Drosophila melanogaster: one gene and its partners. The gene in region 2 interacts genetically with the main gene of each other region. Each region holds a gene or a part of one and is shown on either strand. Other genes may lie near its edges.

Evidence for each region. A genetic interaction does not mean that the proteins touch.
Region 1: changes in Tsc1 (region 2) and Pomp are lethal when combined (synthetic lethality), as found in Drosophila melanogaster (one study listed by BioGRID).
Region 3: changes in Tsc1 (region 2) and AMPKalpha are lethal when combined (synthetic lethality), as found in Drosophila melanogaster (one study listed by BioGRID).

Annotation. Positions count from the first base shown.
Region 1 is NT_033779.5:20,785,822-20,789,645, reverse strand, and holds Pomp (pomp), read right to left. Parts: upstream 1,991-3,824; 5' UTR 1,864-1,990; coding exon 1,861-1,863; intron 1,797-1,860; coding exon 1,531-1,796; intron 1,244-1,530; coding exon 1,108-1,243; 3' UTR 548-1,107; downstream 1-547. Other genes in the region: vari (varicose), read left to right, coding at 1-60, 223-399.
Region 2 is NT_033777.3:24,128,357-24,135,193, reverse strand, and holds Tsc1 (Tsc1), read right to left. Parts: upstream 4,888-6,837; 5' UTR 4,790-4,887; intron 4,699-4,789; 5' UTR 4,529-4,698; coding exon 4,435-4,528; intron 4,375-4,434; coding exon 4,118-4,374; intron 4,057-4,117; coding exon 1,746-4,056; intron 1,689-1,745; coding exon 1,531-1,688; intron 1,405-1,530; coding exon 1,275-1,404; intron 1,218-1,274; coding exon 865-1,217; 3' UTR 540-864; downstream 1-539. Other genes in the region: Sec10 (secretory 10), read right to left, coding at 1-187, 248-280; GatB (Glutamyl-tRNA amidotransferase, subunit B), read left to right, coding at 5,011-5,072, 5,126-5,270, 5,329-5,442, 5,507-5,822, 5,878-6,302, 6,372-6,508, 6,572-6,695, 6,755-6,837.
Region 3 is NC_004354.4:1,373,749-1,379,443, reverse strand, and holds AMPKalpha (AMP-activated protein kinase alpha subunit), read right to left. Parts: upstream 3,909-5,695; 5' UTR 3,689-3,908; exon of another isoform or gene 3,575-3,688; 5' UTR 3,536-3,574; coding exon 3,257-3,535; intron 2,749-3,256; coding exon 1,279-2,748; 3' UTR 548-1,278; downstream 1-547. Other genes in the region: CG3719 (uncharacterized protein), read left to right, coding at 72-368.

The DNA.
Region 1 (3,824 bases), on a different chromosome or scaffold from region 2:
TCCATAAGATTCAGCTCCAGACGCGCCCGTACGCTCGAGTCCCTAGCGTCGTTGTATGAGGTAATGTGCCCTGACCTATCCTTAATTACAGTGTCGTATAAATTGTGCTCAACTCAATCATCCGCTTGGCGCACCTAGGCCACCCTAGTAGCCCTGTTAGATCTCTGCCTGAATACCCAAACATTGCTTAACACATTCGCTTTCTATGACTTTTCCGAACAGGACGACGACCTTGTCGCCACCGTCGAGGAGAGCAGCTTCGTCCAGCGCAAGTATGAGAAATACTTCGACATGGTCATCGTGAACGAGGACTTCGATGAGACGTTCCGCCAGGTGGTGGAAACGCTGGATCAGATGAGCCACGAGGAGCAGTGGGTGCCTGTCAACTGGATCTACTAGAATCCCATGACCCTTTGCAATTGCGCCTTTATGCATATTGAAGAATATATACTATAAAAATCGAATGCCTATCATCACAATTAAAGGGATAATTCCAGTAATTGAAGCTTAAACTCGCAACACAATACAAATTTAGCGAAGAGCATTTAAAACGCTAGCGATTTCAATATTTATTGTTGATTAGACGTGTTTTGCTTGAGGAATGTAATGCGTTTTATTAACTATGTTTATCTCAATTACTGTCATTTTCCTCTTTAAATATAAATCATGTATATATGCAATGTTTGTATAAGTTGAAATGCGCCCTCCGTTTACAATTCAGTTTTCCTTAAGTATAAGCCTAATTTTACGAAACGAATTCGTCCATTTTACCATCTCTTGTTTTATTTTTACAAATAATGAATGATGTCAACGCATATCTCTTCAGTTTATTATTTTAACGAATCTCCTCAGTACAACAACCTTCTGCCAATATTTTCGTGTAGTTTTTAGATTTGTTTGAATAAAATGTGTAAGTTTAACGAACTAGTTAAATGTATTGATGTGGAGTTAAACAAACGAAATACGAATAAATTTGGCTCAAAGAAATGGTGAATTTTGTTTACCTCTAGCTGGTCGCACCAAAATATATTTTATTTGCTGATCTTAAGAGTGTCTTAGAGTTTAAAGGCTGAATGCCAGGCATTTAGCAACTTCATTTGCAGGGACTTATTGGTAAATTCCCAGAGATTTCTCCACCACAGCGTGGGGCTGACGCATATGCTCGCTGTTCTCGGGCAAGTTCATGAAGTCCTCGAAGCCAATGGAATCACAGCGGCCAGTCAGGACATCGTCCATGAAGTTGCTGCAATATAAAGGAAAGAATTAATATAGAAGATAAGTAGTCATTGCTGGGTTTTCGGTAATAATGGTACTATGGGAATCACAGGTATACTTGGTATACACGTATGTATGTATGTACGTATATAGGTATCCATTATTAGGCAAGAAGTTTAGATTTTCTAGATTGTAGGATATCTCAGGTTTCTCCGGGATTCTTATAATGTGGAAACAGAAGATTTCTGAATGCTTCCGCCCTTGCAGAGATTCCTGTCCAGACTGAGAAGCTCCCAGACCGGGCTAGATGCTCACCTGGACGAAAGGAAGGGCAGGCGGCCCACCTGACGTGCGGCGAAGCGCTCCATGCCCATCTTGAGGGGCACGCCGAGGCCCTCGTGGTTGCGCAGCATCTGCATGTTGCGGTTGTACTGGTGCTCGTTGTAGTTCAGCTCCGAGTCGCGCAGCCGGTGGACGTGGGCCAGTTGGTTCAGGCAGTTGGCCTCGGTGGGCATTCCCACACGGCCGGTGGCGTTCAGCACGGACACCTCGGCGGGCTGGACTTTCAGTGATGGCTGATACTGTATTGCGAGGGGTTTTCGTTTCGTTAGCGGCTCTACTAAATGCACTCGGCGAGGTACTTACCATATTCGTAAGCGCTTTTAGAATAAAAATGCGGCGAATTATAATTGTTTCTTGAATGACAAACAAATTCCGTGCGAATTAGAGCTGGTACTTGTGTCGATGCCTACTCGATATCGACGATAATTGACAAGATAATCGAATAGAAAGCAACTTATCGACTAGAATAGAATCCAGTAGTGTAGAAACCAGACTGGCAACTCTTTACATGTGTAGAAATCAGGATGGCAGCTCCAGACAATGCTAACATGGATTCAATCCATTTTGACCCACATAAATTTTAGCTCGGTTTCAAACCATTGCAGGGTACAAAAATGCGGCATGTCCGACAAGTGAATTTCGATTTGAAATTATGAACTCCAAATTTTCCAATCCAATTTGATTATTTAAACAAAATATTTCTATATATATAGCAACAACGCAGCACTATTTGAAATACACTTTAATTGTAATCGTGTTGATGGGTAAAAGTCGGTCTATGCAAATTGGCGTTATTAGCGCACTTAACACTTCGGTCAAGTGACGAACTTGAGTGTTGTGATTAATTACACCCTCGCTGGCCAGCAACGCACATCCGAAATATACAAACGTATCGATCTCGGCCGCAGCTCTAATCAATTCGATCAACAAAAGAACTGAATCCGCTGGCTGGCTGGCCGGGGTTTTGTTTTTCTTTTCACCCACACCTTTTAGCGGCTTTTATGATCTTCTGCTCCACAGAGACGCGATTCATTTGCATCGAGTGACAAACGCGAACGAATGCGAATGCGAGGAGACCAAATCACACGACAGGGCTTAATTAGTGCATGGTCACTAATAAAGATTCGGCCAGTGGATGTTGTGTTAATCAAACTCCCGCACACAATAGCCCAAACTGTCTCCGGCCAACCGATCCGATCCTATCCAATCTGAACTTGAAAATCCAAATGGAAACATCAACCGGATGGATGGATCTTCACCTTCACTTTAGACTAAAAGGTAGTACGTAAATTATGATTTATGCCCATTTACTGAATTTTACAGTGCGAAAAAAGCGAACTACATTCCTGCTTTGTAATTTACAACTTTAATCATTTTAATATTGGTATGGATGAGCATTGCAATACAAAGTCAAATAGTTTATAGCATGTATAGCTATAGTATTGATACAAAAACGTATTAGATAATTTAAAAGATCAGCCCTATTTTTAATGAATGAATTCTATATTAAGAAACTGACAAAATGATAAGTAAATTTAATCAGCAGACAATTCGAGAATTTACAATAAGAATATCGCAACGGGCATATTTATGGCGTCGAGTTGATAAAAATATCGTTAGTTTTTATTACTTTGAGATGCGATTCTTTCGGATGCAACTTATGGTGATTTAATCTATAAGTCTATAAATAAATTAAGTTAGAATAAACACAAATTACTCGCATCGATTTTAGCTTACTAGCATCGTTCCTTTGACTTATTTGTTAATACAATCATTTCAGTTCCCTGTGAATTTTGCCGCTTGAAGAGTTCAAAAGAACTCATACCACGATTGATTTATAACGTTTACTTTCTGTTTTACTGCCTTTGACCAATTAATACACAGTAGACCAGTACGAGGCGAATCAACCAATTCAGTCAGTCCAATATATGGCCATAAGGATGGCCAAGAGCCAACTATGTATGGTCGAATGGAGATGGAGATCTCAGGGCGAGAAGATCGATATGTAAAAGTCAAATAAAAATATAACGTCGAGAATTAACATTTTTTCACAGCAATAAATGCATAAAAGTCGAAGATGTGTATTCAAAAAAGAGAAGAGTCGTGGGTTCAACTAGGGGACTCTTCAGATGAGGGAATTCCTTTTAAAACAGCTTGATTGGGCTGATATTTCTCTTCTATTTTATACGCACTCAGAGAAATTAATGGGTAAAAGCAAGAGATTCCAAAAGATGATCAATAGATGATTTCTTTAAATTGAAGTACAA
Region 2 (6,837 bases):
CCTGGCGCAGTGACTCCTCTAGCCGTTCGCACTTGCTTTGTTGCTTCTCCTGCAGGATCTTTAGGTCCTTAATGGTCTGGATGAAGGTATCGTGGAGGGCCACAGGATGAAAGTCCTCGCTGTTCTGGAGTTCATTGTTGGTGCGCCAAGTCAGACGCTCTATGAACTCGCCCACCTCAAAGGGTTCCTGTTGGTTATGATTAATAAATATAAGCCATAATCGGGCCTACGTGACCTTTGAGCCCACCTGTTCAAACTCCTCCATGTATTGGGATAGCATTTTAATGTATTATTAAGTTTTCGTATTTAAATGATCTGATTTAATAGGCGTTTCTTTTCTGCTTCTTCTTTCTATATTATTGTTGCTTCCGCTCAGCTGTTTCGTTTAAGGTTGCCACACTTCTCACTTTCTTTCAGCTGGCAATGTCGCTCGGTTTGTTTACGTTTTTGTTTGCTCTCTTAGCTAAAATTTAAATGTTTGGCGGTTGTTATATAACAAATAGTATGTTTACAATTAAATAAAATAAAACAATGCTTTTATGTTTGCTGATCTTAATCAAATGTTTATTATAATATGAATGCGCGTCTTACTTATTGCCTCGTATCAAAACCACTTTTTTACAACAAATTGCAATGTGCTAAACAAGTTAAAATTTCAAACATTAATATTTTTTATAACCTTTATAATTATTGCGTGGAGTCAGCGATTTATTAAACCTTAGTTACAGTTTTGAACTGAATATGAAAATATGAAGAACCAATAACTTTTTTTTGTAAATTTTCTGTGCGGGTTTTCCCAATAGACATTTGTTTAGCGAAGGAAAGCTAGTTCTTATTTGTTTTTACAAACTGCGTCTGCTGCTACTACTGCAGTTGATCCTGTTGCTGTTGCTGCAGGTGCAGGTGCGGATGCGGATGTGGGTGGGTGAGCGTGTGACCGATGCCGCCGGAGGTCGACGGCAAGTCCAAGGCGTGCGGCACGATGTTGATGGCACTGGCGGTGCTTGCCGAGGAGGCCAGATCCACGGCCGGCGGACGCACTTCGTCCTCGAACTGAGCGCCACCGGCCATGCTGTTCAGCACATCCGGAATAGTGGGCGTGTCCACTAGCTGGTGCAGGTTCTTCAGCTCCGTGGAGCGTAGGCTGGCGGATAAGCTCTCGCTCGAGGCCAGCGACGTGGATAGCGGTGAGTTGCGTTCAATGGATGAAGCTATGTCTGTGGGAGAATGCAATAGTAAGTATTCTTTAGCTGCGAAGCAGCTCTTGCACTCACCAGTTCTGTCCGTGTCCGGGGAACAGGTGTTATGACCTGTTGTTCCTTGCGGCTGCTGCATCATCATCATCAGCTTCTCCTCCATCTGCATAATTATCTTCTTTTGCACGTCATACTTCTTGTTCACGGACTGCAAGGACGACGATTTTTAAGGCTTATTACTCTTAATTGAAATGAAGTTACTGGTAAACACAGACTATTTCTTAAAAGTCCGAACTATTTCAGATAAGTATACGATTTTAAATATCAGCCCTACCTTAAACTTTTCTTCGTACTCATCCTTGACGGTGCTTAGAAGTCGCTTTTGCTCCGTCATGGCCTTCTCGCTGTTGGCTAGCTGGGCCTGCAGGTCGCTGATCTTGTGCTTCATGCTTTCCAGCTGTGATGTCTTCTCGTCCAGGCTGTGCCTCAGATCTTAATAAATAAACTGAATGATTAAACATCCGTATCATATAAACAATGAATAGGCACCCTTCAGTTCCAGGTTGCTGCTCTCTTGTAGCATCTGCAGTTCCTCGTCGCGGGCCCTGAAGTTATCGATCTCAGCCAGACGGTCGCGGCAACGCACTTGCACCTCACCCATGATAATAAACTCGGCCTCCAGTCGTGCCAGCTCCTGCTTGCACTGCAGCCCAATGTCCGCCTGCTGCTGGGTGTGTTGAAGCTCGGTTCCCAAACTGAAGACCTGACCTCGCAGAGACTCCAGTTCATAGTTCATCTCCTTGTGGCGCGCCAACTCGCTGGTGAGTCGCGTCTGCAGGTCATCGTTTGCCTGCCGCAGGCACTTCTTTTCCTCCAGTTCGTGCTGGTACTTAGCCCTCATTTCGCCCAGCTCCTCCTGGTGGATGTTCTGGCGCTCGTTGGCCAACCGAATGGCCTGATCCATTTTGTTTGCCAGATCCTTGTTCTTCGCATCGAAGTTCTTAAGCTGCTCCCTTAACCGATCCCGCTCCATTTCCAGGCTGCGCTTGTCCCTGCTTCGCCCCATGAGTCGTCGATTGCGCTCTGCGTGAATGGATCGACGGTAGCTTTCGTATTCCAGCTGTAGGCACATCAGTTGACCCTGCTCGGCGTCAAAGGACTCATTGGCCTTGATCGCATGCTTAATGTATTCGTCTAGAATATCTTGCGGGTACAGAAGGTTCCTTTCATAGTCGATTCTTTGCTCCTTGCACTCCAGCAGGAGTTCAATAAGCCAATTCTCGTACTGCGCTGGAGCACTGTCCAGTCCTTCCACCGTCTGGGTGGAGGCATGGGTGCAGCTTCTAGCCGTATCCTTGGGCGCCGAAATGGCCAGGTTCCGGCCGCTCCTCTGCAGGCGGCTGCCAGTCTTTTGCGTATTTCCATTCTCCCCTCTTTGTCTTTGGCTCGAACAATCGGCCTCGTCATCATTCTCCTCCAGATGCTGCTGCCGCATTCCGGAAAGGGCCGAGCAGGATTTGGTTCGTCGCATTGGGTTCTCTGCCTCAGTACTCCAACTTGCCTTCTTTGCCGCCGAACTTCTGCTGTCCGCACAGGAACCATTTCCACTGTAGCTTGCCATACGATTGCGGCGCTTCTTTGCCAGCTGGTGCATGGATCGGCTGGTGGGCATATGAAGTCCACCCACACTGCAGAGGTTCCTATCCGTCTCGTTGCACTCGCCACAAACTGCAGCGACCTCCTGCGTGACAGATGGATAGACGGAACCACCAACAAGGGATAAATCGGAGTTAATTTCTGGCAGGCTGCTTGGACAAGGTGTGTTTACAGATCGCTCCACGTTATGCCTGTCCTGGATGACCTGCGACAGGCGACGGTCATAGGCAGTTCCTCTGTTGACCTCCAGATATGAGTGGCTGCTCTCCTCCGCCTCGCGAGAGACATCCGGGAAACTGAACTGACTCTGCTGGTCCTTGCGCATGGGTGAAGAAGGCTGGCTTACGGCGAAGATAGCTCTCACAGCATGCGAATTGACCGCACGTCCCGGCTGCTTGATATCCCTCATATCCTTTAAGGGGGTGGTTTCCGGTGTGGCCTCCACAGCTGCTTCGGGCGGTGAGGAGCCAGTCATGCCAACCATAAGCTGAGAGTTCATAGCCGGTTGTAGTGGCAAAATAAACGATGTGGTGGGTGTAAGCGGTATGCCGCTACTGGTCGTGGCAATCTCGTTATGCGGACTCCAGATCGGACCCACATCATCACCCGAGGCAAACGAATCGAAGCGGGTGTAGACATTTCTCGATTGCTGAAACTCCCTCAGCTGATAGCTGTAGTCCGTATTCGAGGTATTTGAAGTCATGCGACTGTATCCTGGCGTCATGGGATACGCATAGCTGCCGTCTTCGTTGCTCGTCTCGGGCAAGAGGACGGGCAGCGATAGGTTGGCGCACTCCATAACCACGTCATGCGGCTCCATCTCCTTCCATCGCGTATTGTTTACCTCAGTCTCTGGCGTGGCCGTCACCAGCATGGGATGCACTCGCACAGTGTTCAACAGCGGCTTGATTGTATGCTGGAAGATGCCCCCGCCGTTGCCTCGCTTGATGAACTCCACTAAATAGGCAATAAAGCTGCACGGATACATGCCGTACAGGCGGTGAAATAGCATCTGTAGACCCAACTGCAGGTGGACGAGCTTCTCGTCCGGCAGTTTATTGCTATTCTGCAGCTTCCACGAGGCCAAATGCCCGAACACCTCAAACAGATCGTTAAGAAAGTTGGGCACAGAATTCGGTATGATCGGCAGCAGAGTAATTATGCACAACAGGGCGCTCATCAGCGGAACTATCTCCTTCTCGTGCTGTCAGAGAAATGGAAGTGATGCTGAACTCGGACAAAATTGTAAACACCCATAAACTCACCGTCATAAGCTTAAAAACACTTTTGATCAGCCGGTGTTTCTCGATCTTGTACAGCCAAGTAGGGTGATGGCGCACAATGAAGCAGAACACCTGGAGGCTCTGCACTCGGTGCTGCGACTGCTTTAGGCAGTCGTCCAGCTTGTCAAAGATGTACCCATCGTGAGGTGCCTGGGCTTTGACCAGTACCTCCAAAATGCGCTGAGATCCAGTTGTAAAGAAGTAGTCCAGCATGAACTTTACCACCCACTGCTCCTTGTCTGTGGGGAAATGGTATGTTGGAATAGGTGGCATATTAACTGAAACTGGCGAGGACTCACTCTGGGATAGCAACTCCACAAGCTTGCGCTTGGCCTCCTCGTTCTCCAGCGTCATGTTGGACTCCAGGTCACCAATGATCTTCTCAATCACCATGACGGCGGCTTTATTGGTTTCCTGTCGCTATGATTGATTTTTCCGCCCGCCCTCGGTCGACTGTTCCTGCTCCTGCTACTCCGCTCCTGGTCCTTCTACTCCACTCACTCGTCGTCGTGGTTGTCTTTTGCAGAGCTGCGTGTGCTTTTTCTCGTCTTGGTCGCTGTGAACTGGAGAACAAGGGTTGGCATTGAAATTCCCACTGCGTTCGATGCACTGCACTATTGTTTCGGTTGTGGAGTGCACATTTAAAATGCTTACCTCTGCTAAACTCATATTTTTTTACATGTTTGTCTTGAAAATGAAAAGGTTATTTTTTTGTGATATTCCTCTTGCGCTGTTATCGCCAGCCAATCGATGGTTTTGTCTGGCAACGCCGCTGGCGAATGTCCGGCAGCTTTGGCCGCAATCAAAACAACATCAGCTGTTTTGGCGCAACTTTTTGCCAATTCCGGTGCGAATGTTATAATCGATGTAAAATAATGCATTACTCAATAATCCGAAAACTGGTAACGGCGCCAAAGCTAGCCAACGTTCCCAAAAGGTAATTATGTGAATTAATATTATAAGGATTCATTCCAACGCTCTGAATTTCAGGAAATGGAAAAGCGTTGTGGGTTTGGAGGTGCACGCACAGATTGCCAGTGCGTCCAAACTGTTTTCCGGCAGTGGCACATCCTTTGGAGCACCACTTAACTCTTCGGTGGCGTATTTTGATGCCTCCATACCGGGAACATTGCCAGTGAGAATAGGTACTCTCACTTAAGACGCCATCATTACATTGTATCCTCTGCTTTTAGGTTCTCAACAGAAAATGTGTGGAATCCGGCATTAAGACATCACTTGCTTTGGGATGTCGGGTGAACGAAGTGTCCATGTTTGACCGCAAGCACTACTTCTATGCAGATTTGCCTGTAAGATTCAAATTTCAGTTTACACCACGCTAAGCCTTATAAGTAATAAACTTCTCCTCCCCAGAATGGCTACCAAATCACGCAGCAGCGCGCCGCTTTGGCCAATGATGGAAAAATGACTTTCCCCGTGATAACACCAGGCAAAAAAGTTTACTACAAGACCGCCAAACTACTGCAGTTGCAATTGGAACAGGATAGTGGTAAATCTCTGCACGATGATTATCTCAAAAGGAGCCTGGTTGACCTTAATCGTGCTGGACTTCCTCTAATGGAGCTGGTTTTTGCACCAGATTTAGAAACGGGCGAAGAAGCGGCATCGCTGGTCAAGGAATTAATACTGATACTAAGGCGTCTGCAGACATGCAGTTGTAAAATGGAAGGTGAGTCAAAAGGGATTTGTGTGCCTTTTTTTAAACCGAGTATTTTTTATTGTAGAGGGCGCCCTGCGTGTGGATGCCAACATATCCATTCACCAAGAAGGCGATCCCTTGGGAGTCCGCACCGAAGTAAAAAACATTGGCTCGGTTCGAAGCATTTCGCAAGCAATTACGTATGAAATTAATAGACAGCTAGAAACTGTGGCTAATGGCGGTGTAATTACAAATGAGACTCGCAACTGGGATGCGGAGAACCGGCGCACAGTGGCCATGCGTGACAAAGAGGTGCTGCAGGACTACAGATTCATGCCGGAGCCGAATCTACCACCCCTTCATGTAAACCTAAAGCCTGGATCAATGTCAACAGAGGATTTACTTTCAGTGGCTGCTCTAAGCGAGGAAATTCCAGAATTACCAGAGGACACCAGGCAACGTTTGGTGGAGCAGCACAACCTGAATGCGGAAACTGCCATCATTTTAGTGGTGCGTGCTCTGATCCTTTTTGAGTCAACAAAAAATTTGAAATTGCAACACTCCTCGATTTTATTTCAGAACGAACCTATTCTGCTGGATCATTTCTTGAGCATTACCCGTAGTTTAAGTGATTTGCCCAACAAAGTCATTTGCAATTTTCTTATAAACGATTTGTTGACCTATTGCAACAAATTGAACTTAGATGTGGAGGATTGGTAATAATAGGGAGTAACATACCTAATGAATTTTACTAATTTATTGTGTTCATCCTAATGTAGCTCCATTAAGGCTGATGATTTGAAAGATATATTAATGAGCTTGCATGCCGAGCTGATAAATCTCCAGGCAGCACGTCAGCTGGTTGATCTGCTTCATAATAACCCCAAAGCGAAAGTCAGTGAGGTAAGCTTCGCCTAATATTCCAAATTTATGAGATTACACACATTATCTTCCCATCACAGCTAATCGAACTGCACAGCCTGCAGCAAATCTGCAGTCCGGACGAGATCGAGAACCTGTGCCAGCTGGCTATCGCCAACCAGGC
Region 3 (5,695 bases), on a different chromosome or scaffold from region 2:
AGTTCCGAGCAAAGCACTCCAATTTTAAAGTCTGTTCAACCACCACCTATGTATTATGCCTTGTTCCGCAGGTGATCAACAGCGACAACCCGGTGATCGTGAACTTCCACGCCGAGTGGTGCGACCCCTGTAAGATACTCACGCCCAAGATGCTCGAGCTGCTTGAGAACTCGAACGAGATCGACCTGGCGGTCATCGATGTGGAGACGAACCTGGATCTCGTCGAGACCTTCGAGGTGAAGGCCGTGCCCGCTGTTCTGGCCTTCAGGAACGGCGTCGTAGTGGACAAGTTCATTGGTCTGGTCGACGCCAACAGCATCGAGACCCTAATCGACAAACTGAAGCGGAAGCAACAGCAGAAGCAGTAGTGAGCTGGAGCGGCGATGCGATGCACAGGTGGATTAGATCAGGGATGCTATGATTTTACACACGAAACGGGAGACTGGAACTGCGATATGAAGCCCAATGCCGAGGCAGAATTTGCAATCATCGATGCTGAAAGAATGTGCACAACATACCTTAATATGCAATAAAACTAACTTTAATTATGGCTACTCTTAATTCACACTTCGTCCACAATCGATTTAGAATATTAATGGATCGCTTTATTGTTTGGTTGGTTCAGATACAGATACATAAAACTTGGTCCACATCTGGTTGTTATCTGACAGCTTCCCCAGACGAGGTTCCAATTACAATTCGTTAGGCATAATACAAATACATCCACGTGCACATGCGGTTTGGATAATAACTCAACTTGCTTATAAACATAAATCGAAATAGAAACAGAACAGAACAGAAACGGATCGAAGCCCGCCGACCGGGCGGAACCTACAGACTTAGACTAACCGGAAGCGGAAATCGATACGGCAAAGCGGGTAACGGTAGCGTAGCGGCAACGGCGGTTGGCGGTGTCCGAGTTCAATAACATTTTATGTGGATTACACAGCCGCACAAAGAAAAGCTGGAGTCGGAGTCCCAAGCTCTTGTTCGTCGTCTAGTAGCAGGCCATTTTTAAAATCTATTCCCAAATCCTGCTACCGATAATTGCACATTGGGTTTCCGATTAAAATCAAAAGGGTTTGGGACGAATGCAAGAACTTAGTCATGTGGTTAAGGCCAGACTCCGGGATCCGCGGAGCCCGAAACTCCCCCCAGCTTTCCTTTGTGGGACTGTGTCTTCCGGGTAATGGTCAATCCTCAGGACTGTCCGAGTGCGGATCGCCAGCCGAGAAGATCCCATCCGGTCCGCTGCGGCCGATGGCGGTCACCTCATCCTTAGCGAGCCAGTTGAATGATCAGGGCGGCGCACATTTCGAAAAACTCCATGGTGTGGTGGCCGGTCGGCTGCAGCGGCATCACCCCGGACACGCTAAGCGGCGGCGGAGTAAGGCTCTCCATGATGACGTCGTCGCCCTGCTCGACCTCGTCGTTGGTCAGCGACTTGAAGTCGAGCAGATAGCTCTTGGCGTCCACCTGGTACAGCTGCAGTGACATCTTCGAGAACTTGCCGGTCTTCACGTTCTGCCTGCGCACCCGAACGTGGTACGGATTGATGATCTTCCACTCGTAGCTGAGTGCCTTCATCGCTCGGTATACCTCGAGCATTATGTCGTTGGGCTTGCTCTGCGACCGGATGCCCAGATGCCACTTGGCGCGCTTGATGGGAGTGCCGCCACGTGCGGTTTTCTCCGGGAAGGCTCCGCCGCCAGATGTCTGCACGGACATGGCCAGTTGACGGTCCCGCATCGGCGCAATCCGCTCCGGATGCGGTCGAATGGGTATGGTGCTGCTAGGCGTGCCTCCAGCCACTGGTGGCACTGGTGTGGCGGTGCCCGAGCTGGCTGAGGTACCTCCGCCAACGGTCACGGTGGCCAGAGGGGCTTGGTGGTCCATCGATGATTGGGGAACGGGCGGAGGCGGCGGCGGTGGTGGAGAGCCGGCCACAAAGAAGTTGTTGATCTCGTTTATTTGGTTGGCCGCGTCGTCGGCGAAGCGTTTGTTGTCGATGATCAGATGGTAAGCGATGGCCAGCTGATCGTGCGGATCGCCGCTGAGCAGCGAGTTGTGCACCTCGGTCTCCTTGACGCCGAACTTGGTGCAGACCTCTGCCACAGCGTAGGTGTCGATCACATTGGAGTCCTGCTCGATGGACGAGGGGAAGAGGTAGGCCGGGAGGTCCTTTTGGAACCACTCGTGCTTCTTGATTTCCTCGATGTTGGCCCGCTTGAGCGGGTCCACTTGCAGCATCTGACAGACCAGATTGACCACTTGTTTGTTGAGGTACTCGGGAATGGGGAAAATGCCCGACTTGATCTTGCGAAACAGCGTAGGCACATGCTCGTCGTCAAAGGGCAGCGTCCCGCACAGCAGGGCGTACAGGATGACGCCGCACGACCAGATGTCCACCTCGGGACCGGCGTACAGCTTGCCGGAAATCACCTCGGGCGCCGCGTAGTTGGGCGAGCCGCACGAGGTGCGCAGGAACTCGCCGTCCAGCATCATGTTCGAGAGCCCAAAGTCGGCGATCTTCACGTGCATGTTGTGGTCGAGCAGCAGGTTCTCTGGCTTCAGGTCTCGATGCACGATCATGTGCCGGTGGCAATAGTCCACGCCAGAGATAATCTGCTGAAAAAAGCGGCGCGCTTGGTGCTCCTGCAGCTTGCCGTGCTTCACAATATAGTCGAACAGCTCCCCGCCGCTCACGTACTCCATGATCATGAAGATGTCCGACGGCGTCGATATGACCTTCGGAGAGTTACGGAAAGGTTAGCAAGCACGTTTATATCAGCTGATGACTGCAGCCGTCCCTAGGTTCCCCCAAGCCCTGCCTAACCTAATTGGTAACTGATCCAATCCGAAAATCGAGGGAAAATGTGCTTGTAAAACCAAAGCAGACCCCGTACATATTCCTTTTATAAACTTTCCTTCCAAACTTTTTGCTCATTTAAGTTGGGCTTCTATGTCTGTTGCGAATGTCTAGCCAGTGGCCCAGTTTCTAGATATGCATTTGCCTTCCGCAACAAAATTCGGATGACTAGGCATGACCGTGTACTTTATAGATAAACAAACCTCCAAAATGTTGTTATAGAAAAGCTATTCCCCCTTCGGGCATATCCTGCCTTTTTGTTTATTAAACTGCGGCTTGATTGTTTGTTATTAGTAGCTGGCCAGCGTAATTGGAAGAGGAAACCAGTAACCCAGTTTCCTGGAAAGCTTGGACTTAGAAAGTCTAAGCTTGGAGCCATGAACTCACCTGGTACAACTTGATGATGTGCGGATGGCGGAAGAGCTTTAGGTTCTGGATCTCACGCCGGATCTTGCCCACGACGTCCAGGCTTTTGATCTTCTGACGATTGAGTATCTTGACGGCCACCTTGACGCGTGTGATCTGGTGCTCGCCGATCTTCACCTTGCCGAAGGTTCCCGTTCCCAGGGTTGCGCCCAGTAGGTAGTGCCCAATCTTGACCAGCGGCTGGCCATTGGCGCTGCCGGCGGCCACCGCCTCAGCGGCCGCAGCCCTCATCTGGGGCATCTCGAGCAGGTAGCTCCTTGTTGGACTGGGGGTGCTCCACTGCTCCGCTGCGGATGGGCGCGGAGAGGGGAGCGGTGGTAAGGTCGTTATCGGTTATTGCGTAGTGTACTCCGCTGAATCAACAGAATAGAATAGAATAGAGCAGCCACTCACGTTACGTTCTTCCTGCCAGCCGTGCCACCTCGCCCGGATACGGATTCGGATGTCAAAGTGGTTGTGGATGTGTCAAGGGCGGTTGAATTGATACTGATTTCCTGGATTTCTATTCGAGCGCGGCAACGAGACTCTCCTTTACGCTTGGGTTTTCTTCGCGTTTTGCTTATTTAATTGACATTGGAAGGCGCTGCCACTTCCAACAACACTGCCTTCCAACAACACTCGTTCCAGCAGCTGATTCGCGCCCTCTCTTTCTCTCTCTCTCTCGCCTTCCAGTGGCTATCGATAAGTGGCGGCCAGTGATGCCAGGTAGTTCCGCAGTGGCGCGCAATTTAAAACCATCTTGCCACTTATGCTGAATTTATAAAAAGCAATATTAATGGCTTTACTCAACCACATTTGAAATAGTTAAGCTCGCAAAAAAACTAGTAGGTGTGCGTTGTCGAAACTCTCTGATGTCCAATTGAAAGGGAAAAGATGCCCGTTTTGTGATTTAAATACACATTTATTACACCAAGTTGATTTTTTGGATCCACTCCACGCGCATAGAAGGTCAGAAAGATACCTCTTTTGTGCAACGTTAAGTGTAGATCAACATTCAATATAGATTATCAAGAATACTGTCCTAAAATTCTCAAAGATGTATGGTAAAATTCAGTTTGTTCACAAATATGCGTGTATATGTCAAGCTTTGTATTTTTCTTTTTTAGTTTCTGTAGTAAAAGGCTGCCACAGCTTCTTGTTTTCACCTGTCAAATAGAACCGCTTAATGACTAGTATATAATGTTCGTGTAAATGCGTTTTTACGACGATCAGGATTCAGCTAAGCGAAAATTGAACATTTTAACTATTTATTTGCTTAGCCTAACATCAATTTACAACAATAGTATATCGTCAACTTAAGCTCTGATCCGCACTGTACTGTGCTGACTGTACCTCAAATCTGTATCATCTCTCTCGCTCTCTTTCGCTGAGGCTGCATCGCACCATCTCGCTCGCAGACTCAAGAATTCAATTTGTGTTCGTTTATTATAAACTTTAGGATTTAAGGTTTAAATACATGTATTTCTTTCGTGCTTTAAGTTTATTCTGAAAAAAAAGTCACCTTAACTATGATATTGCTACGAGACTAGGATTTACGTTTAGAGATTATCAATACTAAAAAAAAAAAATTTCGGACCTCTGGGTCTCACGGGTATGCTGGTTGGAAAATTTCAAGTTTATTTCATATTCAGCCATCTTCTTGTCGGGTTTCTGTTGGAAGTTTACCCGAAGTTCGGGTATTTATACATCATTCATATATATTATCTAATATATAGGTGTTTGTATAGTGTGGTGTTCTTGTTCTTGGTTTGTTGGTAGTACATCAATAATTTATTTATAATGTAGTAAAAAGCAAGTGACGCGAACGAACCCTCGCTGTCGACGTTCCTTATAAGTCTACAAATTAACCATCTATTCAGAGCAAGCGTCTTCTGTCTGTTGTCATAAGGTTCGTCTCTCTATATATCCGTGTGTGTAACGTCCGTCTCACAGTGTCCGGCCGGAATAGTCGCCACATCTTGGGGCTTTGCATCCGTGCAGTTACTCAATTCATTTACAATTCGCAATCCACCAAGAGCGAAGATTGTTTCGTGAACTGGAGATGAGTGCAGGAAAGTTATATTTGAGTTTTGGTTGCGTTCTCGTCTCGTCTTGAGTGGCTGATGGTTTGCGTTTGGGGCTTTGTATGTTGCTCATACAAACTCATTGGAATTTTTTCTTATGTGGTTCGATCAAGGATTCGACTCCGACCGTCTTTATGTGTGTGTGTGTGTGTGTTGTTGGGGATTGTGTAGGCTGGTTAACTTTGGAACATTATTTCGTACATCTTAATACACGCTATGCATCTTTAATTTGCTCTGCTTAATTCTGTGATAGTGTTCTTGTGGTACTGCCTATGTCTGCCGTGCACCTTTGCTTTGCCTCTTGCTGCCAATGCTTGGATTTGCTATTCCTGGCCAG